2 linked regions of the Pelodiscus sinensis genome follow. Each later gene encodes a partner of the first gene's protein in a complex. Links are inferred from orthologs where the notes say so. Each region holds a gene or a part of one and is shown on either strand. Other genes may lie near its edges.

Region 1 (7,882 bases):
TGGTTGGAAGAGTGGCTGCTAGGCCTGTGGCCAGGGGACTCATGCCATTGTGTAGCTCTCTCATGTGGTTTGTTAGGGTTTTTTGTTTGCGGAGTCTTGCTGCGTGTTGTCATGTGATAGTGTCCAAGAGGTGTTGTAGGAGCCTGGATTGAGACAGTTGCTCTTTTGTGGCTCTCAGTATCACTAAGATCAGTGGTCTCCAGAGGAATGTCCCACAATTCAGGGTCATCTGGAACAATTCAGAGACAGAAAGAAGACAACATTGTGACATTACAGAGCAGTGTAGCCCTAGTGTCAGCCCTCACTTGATGGCCCCAGAGCAGTAAAACTATAATGGAGTTTGTCGATACAAGAACAAAGGGAACTAAAGTTAAAGTGTAAAAATAGTGCACAAGTGAAGCTAAGACTTCAGGGATTCTGTGTGGTTACTAGAGAGAGTAAGGTTGAATAAAGTGCAACTGCACTTGGCTTTCATGTACAGGCTAAAGCATACAGGTGCAGCCTCAGACACTTCTTGCTGACAAGAATGTGAGCTCACATGTATATACACCAAGACCAGAATCTCTCAACTTCACTGGCTACAATAAAAGGTTCCTATAGGCAGGTTCCCCTCTAGTTGTAGGGTGCTTTAAACACCTACTGATGGAAGGGTGGGGCCCTGAATCCATTCACACCTCTGTCCAGGTCTCCTCTCTTCCCCCTCTACAGGTTATTGTTGCCACTATTGCTCAAGTGAGAATTGGGTCTATGCAACTCCCCCCTCATTCCTAAATCCTGCCTTTGAGCTAACAGTCTGCCAGCATTCAGCTGCCACTTTTCTGACCTTCAAAGAACTCTTCTTCAGTGGTTGGTCCCTGGTGCGCTGCTGCTGGAGTGCTATGCTTCATCAGTGACTGAAGAGATGCTTCTAGGCACAGGTAAAGAAGAACTATTAGTGCCACAAAGGCAAAAGACACTACCTGATGCCCCTATGGGGGAAGGAATTCAGGTAATTTCAGAAAGATACTAACTGTCCTACATCCACTTCTTGCCACTCACTAGAAATGGGGGTGTGGAGGGCAAGACACGAAATGATATCTGGTAAGGCCTACTATGCGCAATGAAAATATCCAAAAATTTCTTGAACTGTAAGCAGAGGTTTGGTTTTCTCAATATTCCCAGTTGGTACTCTATAGCAGCACTGGCTAAGCCTTTCCTAAGAGAACATAATGGCAATTTTGATCATGTCTTGTTTGAATCCACAGCCGTGACCTATAGGGAACAAGTATGACTTGAGATTTCTTTTTATAAGCTTTCTTCAGTCAAACAAGTGGTGGTAAAATTAGGCAGCTGAACAGTTTAACCTTGTAGGTCCTGACTCCAGCCTAACTCACGGGTAAGGGTGGGTTGTGACTACTCCAGCACCTTGGTCAGGGCTGTTGGTCAGGAACCAGAGAGGAAAAAAGCACACCCCTGATGGACATAAATTACACTGACAAGTGGCTGTGATCAATGCTATCCCTGCTTGGGCATAGTTTAATTATGCAAAGGGGAGAGGTGTCTCTCACTTGCATACTGTAGGTCCATGAGAGCCCTTACTGCAAAGCACCTGCTGTGGCAGACCTGTGCTGCTGTAATGTTTAATGTAGATATAGTCCCGGTTGTTAGACTAGCAGATTAACAGTGGCCTGCCCTACCCTGTTTGCTGATGGGATTGGCTACTGCCATCTGATGTTTTTTTTCCATTTGCTCCCGGAACTGCTGCTGAAGTTGCTTCTGCCGTAACTTGCGCTGGTAAGTGGCATCGCTCCCACAGGCTAAGATGCTACTTCTGCTCCAAGAAATAAACACACAGTCAGATGGCACTTCAGCTATAATTACACAGTAGGAAGGGGGAAGTTTATACCAATAGCATGCTAGGGAAAATCCAGCTATGATAGATGGTTCTTCTATCACACTTTCCAACCAAAGCTGCTCCCCGAACTCCCAACATGCTTTACAAGCATTATCTATTTACAACTTCAGGGTTGTCAGGGAGGCTTAAGTATTACCATTTCTAGCAAGCACAGGACTAGGACCTGTCCAAGTTTATACAGGAAATCTGTGGCTGAAACCCTGCTCTTGTGCCTGAACCATATACACAAACCTGACCCAAACTCGAGTAGCAGAGTATTTTGAATTACATATAAGACAACATTTATCACTTCTTGTTGCAGGCTCTGGAATGGGAGGAGCTCAAGCCAATGCAAATATTGCATATACAGTTATGTGAACTGACTATGACACCTGCTATGGTGCCCAAGCAGAAGTAGAGCGCTAACCACCTCACTCAAGAGTTACAGCCTTGGAACCTCATGGTTCTGTTCCTGCCTGATAAGGAGCTGCCTGACTCCTGTATTCTCTGGCTCAGAGCCACAGTACTGTGCACCTTATAAAGTAGCTCTTAGGACTGAATGCCTCCTAAAAGCTCCTGGAGGAATGTGGGGTATAATAGCTATGGATCAAATATAGGGTTGGGTATTGTCTGAATTAAAAGAACCAGCCTTCCACTTAACGTGGCTCATATATGCTCTGGTCACTAGAGTGATATGGAATTTTGGGAGTAAATGGAGGAATTTGTACATTTTAAGCACAAGGTGACCAGAACTGGGGAGGGGTGCTCATTTATAGTACAAAGTTAAACAGATTAAACACTCACCTGGAGCTATTTTGCTGCTCCTGTTCCGTTGTGCTTGAAGAAGCTGTCTCCTGGCCCTGTTTGTGTGGGGACACGCTCTCACAGTGCTGGGGTTGCCCTGTACTATGTTTCTGCAGACAGCTACTGTATCTTGCCTTCTCTATTGCAGGCTCAAAATCTTGCCTTTTTGCTTTTGTGAAATCCAACTCAGGAGGCAGCTAATACAGGAAAAAATTGTAATTCATTGACCAATTCTCCCCGCCCCATTAACTCTAAAGTCACAGACACTCAAAGCATCTTACAACAATATTTCATGTTTTGTGTCCCCCTCTCTAGCAGTTCTTAAACCAGTATCTGGGCCGCTTTTGTCCTTAAAGGATTGGTTTGGTTCTGTATTCTGAAAGGAGTTAGTGGTTGTTTGCAGACCACTATCATTGGCAGTGTTAGTGAATGTTTATTGGCTAGCCTCTATACCAACACACAATAGAATATTTAAATATAGAAGTAATAGAATCTGGACAATCCCACAACAGGGAGGTAGGTAGGTAAGGGAGTAAAAAAAAAAAAAATCACACTTTAAATTTATAGATGTGTACACAGACATGTGTTAGAGCTGGGCAGACCATTTTCTTCCCTTCAAATGCAGGAGTGGAATCATATATTCCACCCTTTAACTGAGCACATATTGAGGGAAGCTAGATAGAACAATATAAAGTGGTGTCAGAGGGATCTCTCTCACCCACATACAACTGGGGAGTTTGCAGTGTCCATATTAATTCCACAGGAAGCTGCAATACTGTGCTTCAGCCACCATTGGTACTGACTGAGATAATAAATCAGCACCTCCAAGCCCACCCACCTGATTCCAATATGGCATTCTCTATCTATCAGGTACTGATAGCTGCTCCTCCTGGATCCTTCCCTTAGGTCAGCACTCCCAGGGCTCTACATCTGCATATAAGACTCTCTGGTAAACTGGAACTAAAGTCTATGGCAAGCTGTTCTAATTTCTGTAGCATACTAGATATTCTGTGGTGGCTTCCAAATATATCAAAGTGGAGGGGTTTCATTATAGCAAATATGATAACGAATAGTCAGTACAGGAGACCAATGAAGTGTTTTTTATATTACATTCAGCACATTTTTCTTAGCCCCTAAATTTTCAGTTCTCTGTATGCTGAAGATTTCTGCAATGCAGTACTGTTAGAGGAGAGCTGAAACTTTCAACAGCTGTGCAGGGGGAAAAGTAGTGGCTGGCAGCACTTCTTTTAGACTAGAGCTCCCACTGTTGTTTACAAATAGTGAAAGCGGACTGGGGGCAGTTGCTGTGGGATGCTATCTGAAAATTTTCTAGTTTAAAAGAAGCTCTACTGTACATAGCACAGTACAATATTTCAAGTAACATGTTTTGATGTGGCACTGGAATTAGTTCATCCCTATCTATAATAGTATTTATTTAAACTATTACCAACAAGGGTGCAGCTGGACCCACTAGCAGTAAAGATACAGAATGGGCTGGTGCTCAGAAACTATAGTGATTGGAATGAGATGGGAATCTGACAAGAAGAGAGTAAACAAGACCCCTGGAAAGAGAAACAATGGGTTTAAGTTTCAGAATTGTATAATTTTGATGAGCTATTGGGAAAAATATTTTACAAAGAATAGTCAAATAACTAGCAGCCAAGGAAGATTGTGGAATCATTGCCACTAGACACATTCATGGTTTCCATCCCTTTCAAAACATGAATTGAACCAGTGACCTACCAATCATTCCAAATTGATGTAGTTTCCTTCTTTGAGTTACCAGCATAGTGGATAGGTAGAAAGCAGTAGATACAATATATCTAGACTTTAAGACTTGAGCCAGTCACACACTACATTCTTATAATCAAACTAGGGAAATACTGTCTAGATGATGTGGGTATACAACTAGGAACAAGGAGGTTCCTGGCAAACTAAATTACTCTGCTTTCCCCTTCTCCAAAGTCCCACATACTGCACCTGACGAGGAAGTTTATTCACTGATCGCAGGTAATCTTTGTCCAGGATGCAGTTCCCAAGAGCATTTCCAAAGCACCTGAGGGACAAGAGAGCCTGCCATGACTGAGAATTTCGTATTGTATTCTTATGCCATCTTTTGAAAATGAGCAAGAAATGTTCAGGTTCTCCACTTACTTTAGTGCCCTCTTTAGCCCATCTGTCACTGCTTCTTTCCTTGCCTTTTCTAGGGACAATGCCTTGGACTTCAGGCCCTCACTCACTCCATAACCCACGTCTTCATGGTATGACCCATCCTGAGAGGTGAGTTAAAAAAAATGAAGGAATCAATACTGGAACTTTTGCTTTTAGACAGCTGATTAAAATACTACATCTCTCGTTTGTGGACTATATGTATTAAGTGGCTTGGAATGTATTCTCTAGTAAGTTCAGCTTTCCAGGGGCCCATAGGATTGTCTGGTTTGACACAATACTATGGTGTGTTGCAGTTCAGCTCCACACACACAGTAATACTGTCATTCATGGTACTTAATCAACTAGCAGTTCACCAGCAGATGGAGCAAACAAAATCACATCCATTTACCTTGAGTTGGACTTTTACAAATGCACAAACTCCTACATAGAATTTGCCATTGTTGAGATCAACAAAATCTGGGGAGAAGAGGAAGGAGATGGAGTTACAACAGAGATCCAAACAGTGTATCTGTCAGGGATGGTGTAGACGGAGCTTGGTCCTGCCTTGAGGGCGGGGGGCTGGACTCGATGACCTCTCGAGGTCCCTTCCAGTCCTATTATTCTATGATTATGGGGTGAAATTTCTACCTCATGCTCATATTCCTAAGAAGCTTCAGAATTAAACCTGGTCTATACATAACATTTAGATCAAACTCATGTGCCAGGATAAACTTTCACTGCTGAGTCTTCCACATCAGCTACCATGCTTGATCCACCATTTATATTACAACCCACAACAAAAGTAGATCTTTGGCAACAAAATACCACACCAAGTATTGGACTTTCCACTTGAAGGGATATGGGGCCATACCTTCCTTCCTTGTCTCTTAGATACCAAGTGCCCTGAGGAAATGAAGTCAGCATTTGCATGCATGATCATGATGGCTCCAGCATGGATGAGGCAGTGCAGTGACGGAATGAGCCAAGCTTTTTGTGGGGGTGGGTGGGGAGGGGAGTCACTCCCTGCTCCCCCAGGTCTCTATCAATTCCTCCACTACCACCCCCCTTCCTCCTAACATTAAAGAGGTCCCTGTCTCCTGCAGCTGCTCTCCCTCCATTTCTCCATTGTTGGGACTGAAAATTCTAATTCCCTGAAGGAGCATGGGGTATGTTGTGCATTCACATAAACAGGAATTTTGGTTAACTCAAATGTGGATAAAAACAAACTTTATCTGTACAAAATATGATAGAAAAATAGGAAAATAAACTGCAGGGCATCCTAAAAAGCACCCTGATTGAACCGTGTACCATTCAACCAACTTGCTATCTTTGGCATGCTTGCTGCAAGTTGACAATCCCTGCCAGCTATAAAAAGAATATGATTTTATTAAACACCCGAGGAGCCATTTGGCCTGGGAAGAATTGGACATTACATTGGTGGAAGAGGGGCCAGAGAAGACAATTCTAGAGAATACTAAGTAATAGTCAACATGTACTTGCCAAGAACCAATCATTCCAAACCAATCTAGTTTCCTTCTTTGAAAGGGTTACCAGAATAGTAGATAGGTAGAAAGCAGTAGATACAATATCTGGACTTGACACAGTCACACATTACATTCTTATAATCAAACTAGGGAAATATTGTCTACTCTAGATGATATGGGTATACAAATAAATGAAAAAAAATCATATTAAGAGATAGTTATTATTTAGGGATGTAAACTATCATTTAAAAAGTTAACTGATTAAACACTGTTTCACATGGAGCAGTCCCCCACCTGCGATTGGTGGGTCCAGTCAGACTACTAGGTACAGGAAAGCATCACCCGGCAAGGTTACTGGGGACCCCGCCCCCTTACATCCCTTTTATTATTAGTAGTAGCAATAATATAATTGATGTCAAAGTGTGAGGACTGATCAAATGTGGATCTGAATAGGTCTTACGTCTAGTACGATCCAATATTTTAATCAATTATTTGGATAATGGAGTACAGAATATGTTTATAAAATTTTCAAATGACACCAAGCGGGGAAGGGCTGTAAGCATGCCTGTGGATAGGGATGTAAAATTCAGTTTAACCATTTAATTGGTTAAAAAGGGGCACGCTGGAGCAGCCTCCCTGCCATGGGCTGGGGCTCCTCCAGTGTGGCTGTTTACAACCCCTTGCAGGGCTGCAGGTGCCCAGCCCATGGGGGGCTGGAAAAAACAACTCTGTGTAGGGCTGCCAGCTCCCAGCCCCTTGTGAGGGCCTAGCGGTGCTGGAGCAGACCCTCCACCTAACACAGGTGGCGGGGGAGGAGCGGTTGCTCCCCAAGTAACCAGTTATCCATTAACATCCCTAATTGTGGACAGAATAAGAATTCAAAAAGACCTCACCAAATTGGAGAACTGATCTGAAATCAACAATGAAATTCAATAAATACACATATCAAAGTGATGCACTGAGGAAGGAAAAAAAATCAAATGCACAACTACAAACTGCAGTAGTATTGCAAAAAAAATCTGGGAGCTATAGCAGATCACAAATTGAGTAAGAGTCAAACATGATGCTGTTATAAAAGAAGGCAAATGTTATTCTAAGATGTATTCATGTAAAAGTTGAGCAGTAACTGTTCTGCTCTACCTGGCATTGGTGAGGCCACAGCTGCAGTACTGTGACCATGTTTTCAAGGCTTCATGCTTTCCAAAAGATGTGGACAGATTGGATAGACTCAAGAGGAGAGCAACAAAGTTGATAAAAAGTTTAGCGAACATGCTATGAAGACGGGCTGAAGGACTGGGCTTGTTTAATCTAGAGAAGACTGAGCAGAGACATAGTCTTCAAATACATAAAAGTCTTACAAAAATAATGGTGATCAATTGTTCTTCACAGTCTCCAAGAGTAGGACAAGAAATAATCTGTTTAGTTGTCAGAAAGGGAAATTTAGGAAAATCTTACTAACCATAAGGGTATTTTACCCAGGGAGATTGTGGAATCCCTGTAAATACAAGTTTTTAAGAACAAGGTTAGGTAAAAACCTCTCAGGGATGGTTCAGGTATATCTAATCCTGCC
Region 2 (7,517 bases), about 12 Mb from region 1:
GGAAGTAGGTCCCTGCCTCCAACCTGCGAAAGAGTCCAGAGTTGTGGAGGATGCGGGCGTCGTGTGCTCGGCCGGACCAGCCCCCATAAATGTCCATAAAGCGGCCCCGGTGATCCACGAGGGCCTGCAGAACAATGGAGCAGTACCCCTTGCGGTTCATGAAATGGCCCGCTCGATGCAGGTGGCGTCCAGGCCTCCCCCGCAGTTGGGGAACCCGAGGGCAGCGAAGCCGGCCATGGTATCATCCACGTCGCGCAGGTGGATGACTCTGGGGAGCAGGACGTTGTTGATGGCGTGGACGACCTGCAGAAGGGTGCAGAGAAACACAAGGGTACACATCACATACGGCAGGGGTGAGTGTGCACTCCCTTGGGCCCCCCCCCTTGATTCCCTGTGTCCTCACACACACACACACACACACCAGGGCCCTCCCTCGCCCCATGCCCCCCCCCCCCCACCGGGCCTGTGCAAGGGAGGGACGGCCCAAACCCCTGGGCGACCCAGCCTGGAGTCTTGGCTGTCCCTGGGCCTGGAGTGCAGCACCCTCCCCCCACCCCACTCCCCCTGGGACTTACTTCCACGACGATCACTCTGACGGTTGATCTTCCCACCCCGAACTGCTGTGCCACCGAGTGGTAGCTGTCCGGTGTGGCCAACTTCCACAGCGTGATGGCGACCCTCTTCTTCACGGGGATGGGTGCCCGCAGCCAGGTGGCGGCTCTCTGGAGCGGGGGGGTGAGCCAGGTGCACAGCTTCATGAAGATCCGCTTTCTCATCCGGAAATTCCTGATTCATTGCTGGTCATCCCATAGTCCGAGGACCACCCGGTTCCACCAGTTGGTGCTGCTCTCCAAACTCCAGACGGGCCTCTCTACGGTGGGGTGCTGATGCGACAGGGTTGCCAGGGCAATAAAGTGATAGGGAATAGCCAGCATGGGTTTGTGAAGAACAAGTCATGCCAAACTAATCTGATAGCTTTCTTTGATAAGATAACGAGCCTTGTGGATAAGGGAGAAGCGGTGGATGTCATATACCTAGACTTTAGTAAGGCATTTGATACGGTCTCGCATGATATTCTTGTTGATAAACTAGGCAAAGATAACTTAGATAGGGCCACGATAAGGTGGGTGCATAATTGGCTGGATAACCGTAGTCAGAGAGTTGTTGTTAACGGTTCTAAATCCTGCTGGAAAGGGATAACAAGTGGAGTTCTGCAAGGGTCTGTTTTGGGACCCGTACTGTTCAATACAGGCAGTCCCCGGGTTACGTACAAGATAGGGACTGTAGGTTTGTTCTTAAGTTGAATTTGTATGTAAGTCGGAACTGGTACATATTGTAGGGGAAACTCTAGCCAAACATTTTTTTTAGTTTTGGATAGCATAGGGAAAGGTTAACTCCCCTCTAATGTTTGTTTTGCTGTCTGTTCCCCTGTTCAGAAGATTTCACATCTATTTCTGTCCCTGTGACAAACTCAGGACTAAAGGAGTAACTCATCAAATACCAAACAGCTCTGCACCATGCTTTGAGCTAATAGCTTTATTTCCACACACCACCCAGGGTTCTAGGAGGAGGGTCCTTTTTTTGCTAACACAATGAGGCCAGCACTTTGTTTGTGTTGGTGGAGTCTTTGTTTGCCCAGGGAGCCCAGCATGTATAGAGGGGAGGAGGAGCGGAGAGGCTGCTTTTGTCTGTTCGGCAGCCTGTTGCTCAGGGGAGGGGGCAGCCTGTTGCTGGCAGGGGGGTGGGTGGGGGGGCAGCGGGCGTGGGGAGGCACTTTTCCTCTGCCCGGCAGCTCTGCGGGACCCCAGTCAGAGCCGGCCCGAGGAGGAGGAGGATCCTAGGACCCAGGTGAGTGAGCCCCGGGAATGCTGCTGCGCATGTGCGGGAGTTGCCTCACCCCGTTCGTATCTAGGGATCCAACGTAAGTCGGATCCACGTAAGTCGGGGACTGCCTGTATCTTCATCAATGATGTAGATATTGGGATAGAGAGTACGCTTATTAAGTTTGCAGATGATACCAAACTGGGTGGGGTTGCGACTTCTTTGGAGGATAGGGACATAATTCAAAATGACCTTAGCAAGTTAGAGAAATGGTCAGAGGTAAACAGGATGAGGTTTAATAAAGAGAAATGCAAAGTGCTCCACTTAGGAAGGAACAATCAGTTCCATACATACAAGATGGGAAGCGACTGTCTAGGAAGGAGCATGGCAGAAAGGGATCTAGGGGTCATAGTGGACCACAAGTTGAATATGAGTCAAAAGTGTGATGCTGTTGCAAAAAAAGCAAATATGATTCTAGGTTGTATCAACAGGTGTGTTGGTAGCAAAACTCGTGAAGTCATTCTGCCGCTCTACTCTGCACTAGTTAGGCCTCAGCTGGAGTACTGTGTCCAGTTCTGGGCGCCACATTTCAAGAAAGATGTGGAGAAATTGGAAAGGGTACAGAGAAGAGCGACAAGAATGATTAAAGGTCTAGAGAACATGACCTATGAAGCCAGGCTTCATGAACTGGGCTTGTTTAGTTTGGAAAAAAGAAGATTAAGGGGGGACATGATAGCGGTTTTCAAATATCTAAAAGGGTGTCACAAGGAGGAAGGAGAAAATTTGTTCCTCTTGGTTTCTGAGGACAGGACAAGGAGTAATGGGCTTAAAGTGCAGCAGGGGAGGTTTAGATTGGACATTAGGAAAAAATTCCTAACTGTCAGGGTGGTCAAATATTGGAATAAATTGCCACGGGAGGTGGTGGAATCTCCCTCTCTGGAGATATTTAAGAACAGGTTAGATAGACATCTGTCAGGGATGGTGTAGACGGAGCTTGGTCCTGCCTTGAGGGCGGGGGGGGGCTGGACTCAATGACCTCTCAAGGTCCCTTCCAGTCCTATGATTCTATAATGGCTCATTTTTTTGCATGGAAGAGTGATAGAAATCACGGAGGCAAAGTGTGGACAAGTTACGTAGTGCAACAAAGATCATGTTTGGCATCCACAGTTGGCATCTTCTGATTCAGAAGAAGCTAGTTGGGGAACAAATTTAGATCTTCGCAGAAGGTGATCTACAGGAGTGGAGGGAGGTGGGATTGCTTACATAACGAATACTCAGTGTAATTAAGATAAAGGCCAACTTTAATGTTATTTTCTGGCTCCATTCAGGAACTATCAGTTCAAGAATACAAATTATTAATATCACATCACATAGCAGAGGCCAGTACCCACCATCTCCAGAAGTTAAACTTAAAAAACAATAAATGGTCTGGTAGCACTTTATAGACTAACAAAACATGTAGCTGGTACCATGAGCTTTTGTGGGCACAGCCCACTTCTTCAGATGACCTGAGTTTTGAGTTTAGGATGTGCAGACCCAAAATAAACATCTCCAGAGGCCATGTTACAAGAAGGACACTATACAAGCTATTATCCTTAAATGCTTGCTTTTTATTATTTTTATTTTAGTAGTAGTAATATTTTAAAGGTAGGAGCTTTGTAGTGGTTTGCATAGTTGTTAGACGATCCCAAACATAGTAAAAGCGATGACTTTACTGATAGTCCCTAAAAGAGGGGAATTGTGGATGCTCTTCCTGTTTGGCTCATTCAGAGTTCATTTTTTTAATTGTATCCTTTGGTATATATGGCTGTGACTATTTTCTTCCATTATTTGATCTGAGGAAGTGGGTCTGGCCCACGAAAGCTCATCATCTAATAAACCATCTTGTTAGTCTTTAAAGTGCTACATTGTCCTGCATTTTGCTTCAGAGTTGACTGTGTGTGCTGAGTTAGTGAGTATGGGTTACTCTGGATAAAGCCTGTATTGAAATCCAAATGCTTGGAGCATGTTTTCTAATTACGAGGGAGCCAAACTCCGGAGATGTTTGTGTGCAAGAGGTTTAGAGAATGCAGCGCTGGGTTCCTGTTTTCCTCCCTACTCTGTTGCAGGCAGCTTTCCGCGGGGTGCCCACAGGTTGCTGGAGCCTAGCTGGGAACAATCCCGGGAGTATCAACAGAGGCGTTGCAGGGAGGAATCTTTGGGTGTGTGTCTGTGTGGGAGTTGCGAGACGTTGCTCTTCGGTGGGGGTGCAAGAGGCGTGTCCTAAGAAGTTGAAAGTTGGGGAAGGCGCTGGCCCTGATTTGGAGCGTGTGTCGATTCTGAACAGTCTGTGTAGGGAACACCCCCAGAGAGTGGGGCAGCCCCGGTGTCAATCACACTTGCAGTGTAACCGGGGAGGGGGGTTGTTTACACTTTCCTTTTGGGCTCGGAGGTCAGGACTGTCCCATGCAGAAGGTGCCCAGCATTGGCTTCCTGAGCGCTTCGTGAAACCACCGCCCCCTGCCCAGAGACACCAGGGAAGTCGCATCCACAGCCCCCCCCCCCCCCCGTCCCGATTTCCAGCAGGACTGGCGCTCCCCGCCTGGAACGCACACATGCTCTGCCTGCCCCTGAGTGACTGCTCCCGGCCCCAATGAGCTGGAGGGTGCCGGCTGCCATTCCCGCCCCTCCCCGAGCCTCTGTGGCCATTCCCCGCGGGGAGGGAGGTACCTGGAACCGGAGTGACGTCAGCTCCCAGCTCAGCCCCTGCTCGGATTCCTGCCCTGGTGCGAGAGGCAGGGAGCGAGCCCGGCGGGGAGGAGGGGGCGATCGAGGGTTTAACAAGGCTGCCCAGGGAGAAGGTACCGCGCTCGGCCTGGGGGAAGGGGCGGCAGAACTTTTGGGGAGGGACCTGGCTGCTTTCCACCCAGGTAGCTGGGTCGGATTGGACTTTGGTGGAAGTCAGGAAAAGAGGGTGGTATTGCAACACGGGGCTGTCTGCAGCTGCTGTTCCTGGGGCTCAGCTTCCCTCTGCAATTCCTGCTCCTCCTTCCAAAACAAAACCTGTCCCTTTCTCTTCTCTCTTGGCCTCTGGGTTTTTACTTGAAGCGCGGGGCTGCTCAGTAACGGATCGGGCAAAGCTCCCACGGAAGGGCGGCGAGACAGTACCTAATTCAGTCTGCCTTGCAGCATGACGGTGTTTGTGTCCGTGGGAAGGTTTCCTGTAGAAGGTTTGTTTGCAATAGTTGGAAGGATTTGTTTGGGGAGGAGGTAGCAGAGTGTGAAGGAAAATGCTGAGAGATTGCAGACCGAAAAAAAGTGGTGGGGGAGGCGATTGTATGCTTTGTAGTACATTGCAAATCTGGTGTTTGTAAGGATGTGTGTGTGTTTAAATGGTTTCTCTGTGGAGAAAGGGGGGAGGGAGGATTCCTTGAAAAAGAAAACCTGGTGCCTTCAGGTGCTATAAGTTTCTGGCTTCAGGCTTATACCATGCTATGTGGAAAAGAGAACAGGAAGCATTGGTTGGTTGTAATGTTGCTTCAAATAACATGCTTAATTTGTTGCAGTGTAGTGACTGAGACTAGGGTTCTCAAAAAAAATCATCTTCTAGAAGCTGATTGAGTTCACTAGCACTATGGGTTTTCTCATCCCCAAGAAAGGCTGTAGGTGCCTTTTATTTAATTAAAAATGTTGCACTCAGTAAGTTATTTGCATTCTGTGGGAGGCTGTGTGAAATTCAGCTGCATGTGTTAATTGCAAACCTGTCTCCTAAATCTAAGGGAAAGCAGCCTTTTGGGAAACATTTCAGTTGAGCAGCACAGATAATCCTGCTCGTCTCAGCCATTTCCGCTTTCCTCCTTAATTTTAACACAGGAACATTTTCTGTTGCTTTTAAAGTTCTGCTCTTTCTGGAAAGTGAAGGGCTCATGTGAACATAGACTTCTTTATTTCCCCTGATTGCTGTGGACTCCAGTTTCAACGGGCAAAGTTAGAAGGAGATCTGGCTAATGCTTATGCATTGCAATGAGACAAATCAATCTTGTGCCTACTAAAAAAAGGTAAAGAAGCAACTGTGTTTAAAACTTTAAAAGCCATATCTGCCTTGGTTACTTTAAACTGTATTTAGAGATTGTGTAGCCACTCTCTTGGAGAGAGCTGTCGACCTGTCTCCCCCCTCTTCCCCTTGCTGCAAAAGACATTGCCTGTTTCTTGATCTTTAGCTAGGGTTTGACAGAAATAATCTAGGGTGATGAGTCATGTTTCCAATGTTTTGCTTTCCTTAGTCCAAAGGAAGGTAACCCCCTTTCTTCCCACCTTGTAGCATCTCCATAAGGGAACAGGAATTGGCTTCGCTGTGAGTGAATGGTTAGCTGGCAGCTAGACTCATGGCACTAGAGTGGTGTGTATCAAATGGCATCCTCTCCAGGCCAGCCAATAGGGATGAAAACTAAGTGTGTGTAAGTGTGTGTGTGTGTGTGTGTAAACAGGTGATGACAAAATTTAGACTACTGGACTCTGCTAACTAGCCACTTACTAGGCTTGAAAAATGAAGCTGATTAGAAGAAGGTCTAAATTTAAACCTGTCATATTTCTGTTACTGTGTAATATAGTGCATTATAGCAAAAGGGTTGAATCTGTGTCTGGTTTGCCATACCGCGTGTACTGGGATGTATTCTTGAAAGTCACTAGCTACAAGCCATGGAGACATTCTGCTTCTAGGAAGATGGTAGGAGAAAGGTGTGCTTAAGTTCAAGCTCTTTCATAATTCATGGATTCAGTAGAACTCTTCCAAATACAACCATTAAAAAGCTAGGTGTGCCTTGGGTTAGCGATGTTTCCTTCTCTAAGGCCTGGTCTACACAGTCTTATATAACTATTTTGTTGTGCTCTTTGTCAGACTGTTTAAACCAGTGTAACCCTTAGTGTGGATGCAGCTATACCAGTATAGAAATTCCTTATACTGAAATAGCTTATTTACCTTCCCTAACATCAATAGTTCTGCTGGTATAACTGTGTTCATGTGAGGGGGATTGTATACTGTTGACTCTTAAATGAAAATGCTTGTCTATGCACAAGAGTAGTTAGTATTGCTTTAACTATGCCTGTGTAGCTAAAGTTTAGTTATCTTGAGAGCTTTCAGAGGCTTTGCTGGTTTGGTCTGGTTGCTTTGACCCCAAAAAGGATTTCAATAGTAAAATGTTTGAGTGGATTGTTGGAGAAGCAAAGTGGGTGAGGTAATATCTTTTATTAGGACAACTTCTGTTGGTGAGTTGGAGCAATAAAAGATATTACCTCACTCACTTTGATATCCTGGGTCTGATATCCTGGGTCCAGTATGGCTACAGCTACACTGCATAAGTTGTTCATTGATGCCATTTCAGTATATGCCACAGAGCTGAGCAAAACAAGTATCTGCATTCCTCAAACTGAGTCCTCAAAGGAAAAATGTTCTTCATGCTTGTGTGATCAAATGTCTGACAATAAAATGTCTTGGTGTGTCAAATCCAGATTTATTGCTTCTATTAAAGGCAAGAGTCATAGTTTAAGAATTAACATTTGTGAAGGACTTCTGACTTCTGGTCACATTGTAAGTGTAGATTTCAGTAAAATCAGTACCATGGTAATCAGAGAGGCATCATTGAAGCACTGGGTTGGGAACCAGGAGATATGGGTTCTGTTTTGCTTTGATGCTGACTTGATTTATTAAGTCTTCTAAG

Evidence for each region. The genes of interacting proteins can lie anywhere in the genome.
Region 2: ERC1 (region 1) and PPFIBP1 share a complex: the UniProt entries of both Homo sapiens proteins name them as parts of the cortical microtubule stabilization complex. The link is inferred for Pelodiscus sinensis from reciprocal best matches to the Homo sapiens genes ERC1 and PPFIBP1.

Annotation. Positions count from the first base shown.
Region 1 is NC_134711.1:108,149,007-108,156,888, forward strand, and holds the start of ERC1 (ELKS/Rab6-interacting/CAST family member 1), read left to right. Parts: upstream 1-4,950; 5' UTR 4,951-4,957; intron 4,958-5,237; coding exon of another isoform or gene 5,238-5,305; intron 5,306-7,882. Other genes in the region: DNA repair protein RAD52 homolog, read right to left, coding at 1-229, 824-907, 1,677-1,810, 2,678-2,874, 4,658-4,733, 4,832-4,950, 5,238-5,305. UniProt on the Homo sapiens protein: Regulatory subunit of the IKK complex. Probably recruits IkappaBalpha/NFKBIA to the complex. May be involved in the organization of the cytomatrix at the nerve terminals active zone (CAZ) which regulates neurotransmitter release.
Region 2 is NC_134711.1:120,150,135-120,157,651, forward strand, and holds the start of PPFIBP1 (liprin-beta-1), read left to right. Parts: upstream 1-4,504; 5' UTR 4,505-4,661; exon of another isoform or gene 4,662-4,665; intron 4,666-4,726; exon of another isoform or gene 4,727-5,030; intron 5,031-5,373; exon of another isoform or gene 5,374-5,858; intron 5,859-7,517. UniProt on the Homo sapiens protein: May regulate the disassembly of focal adhesions. Did not bind receptor-like tyrosine phosphatases type 2A.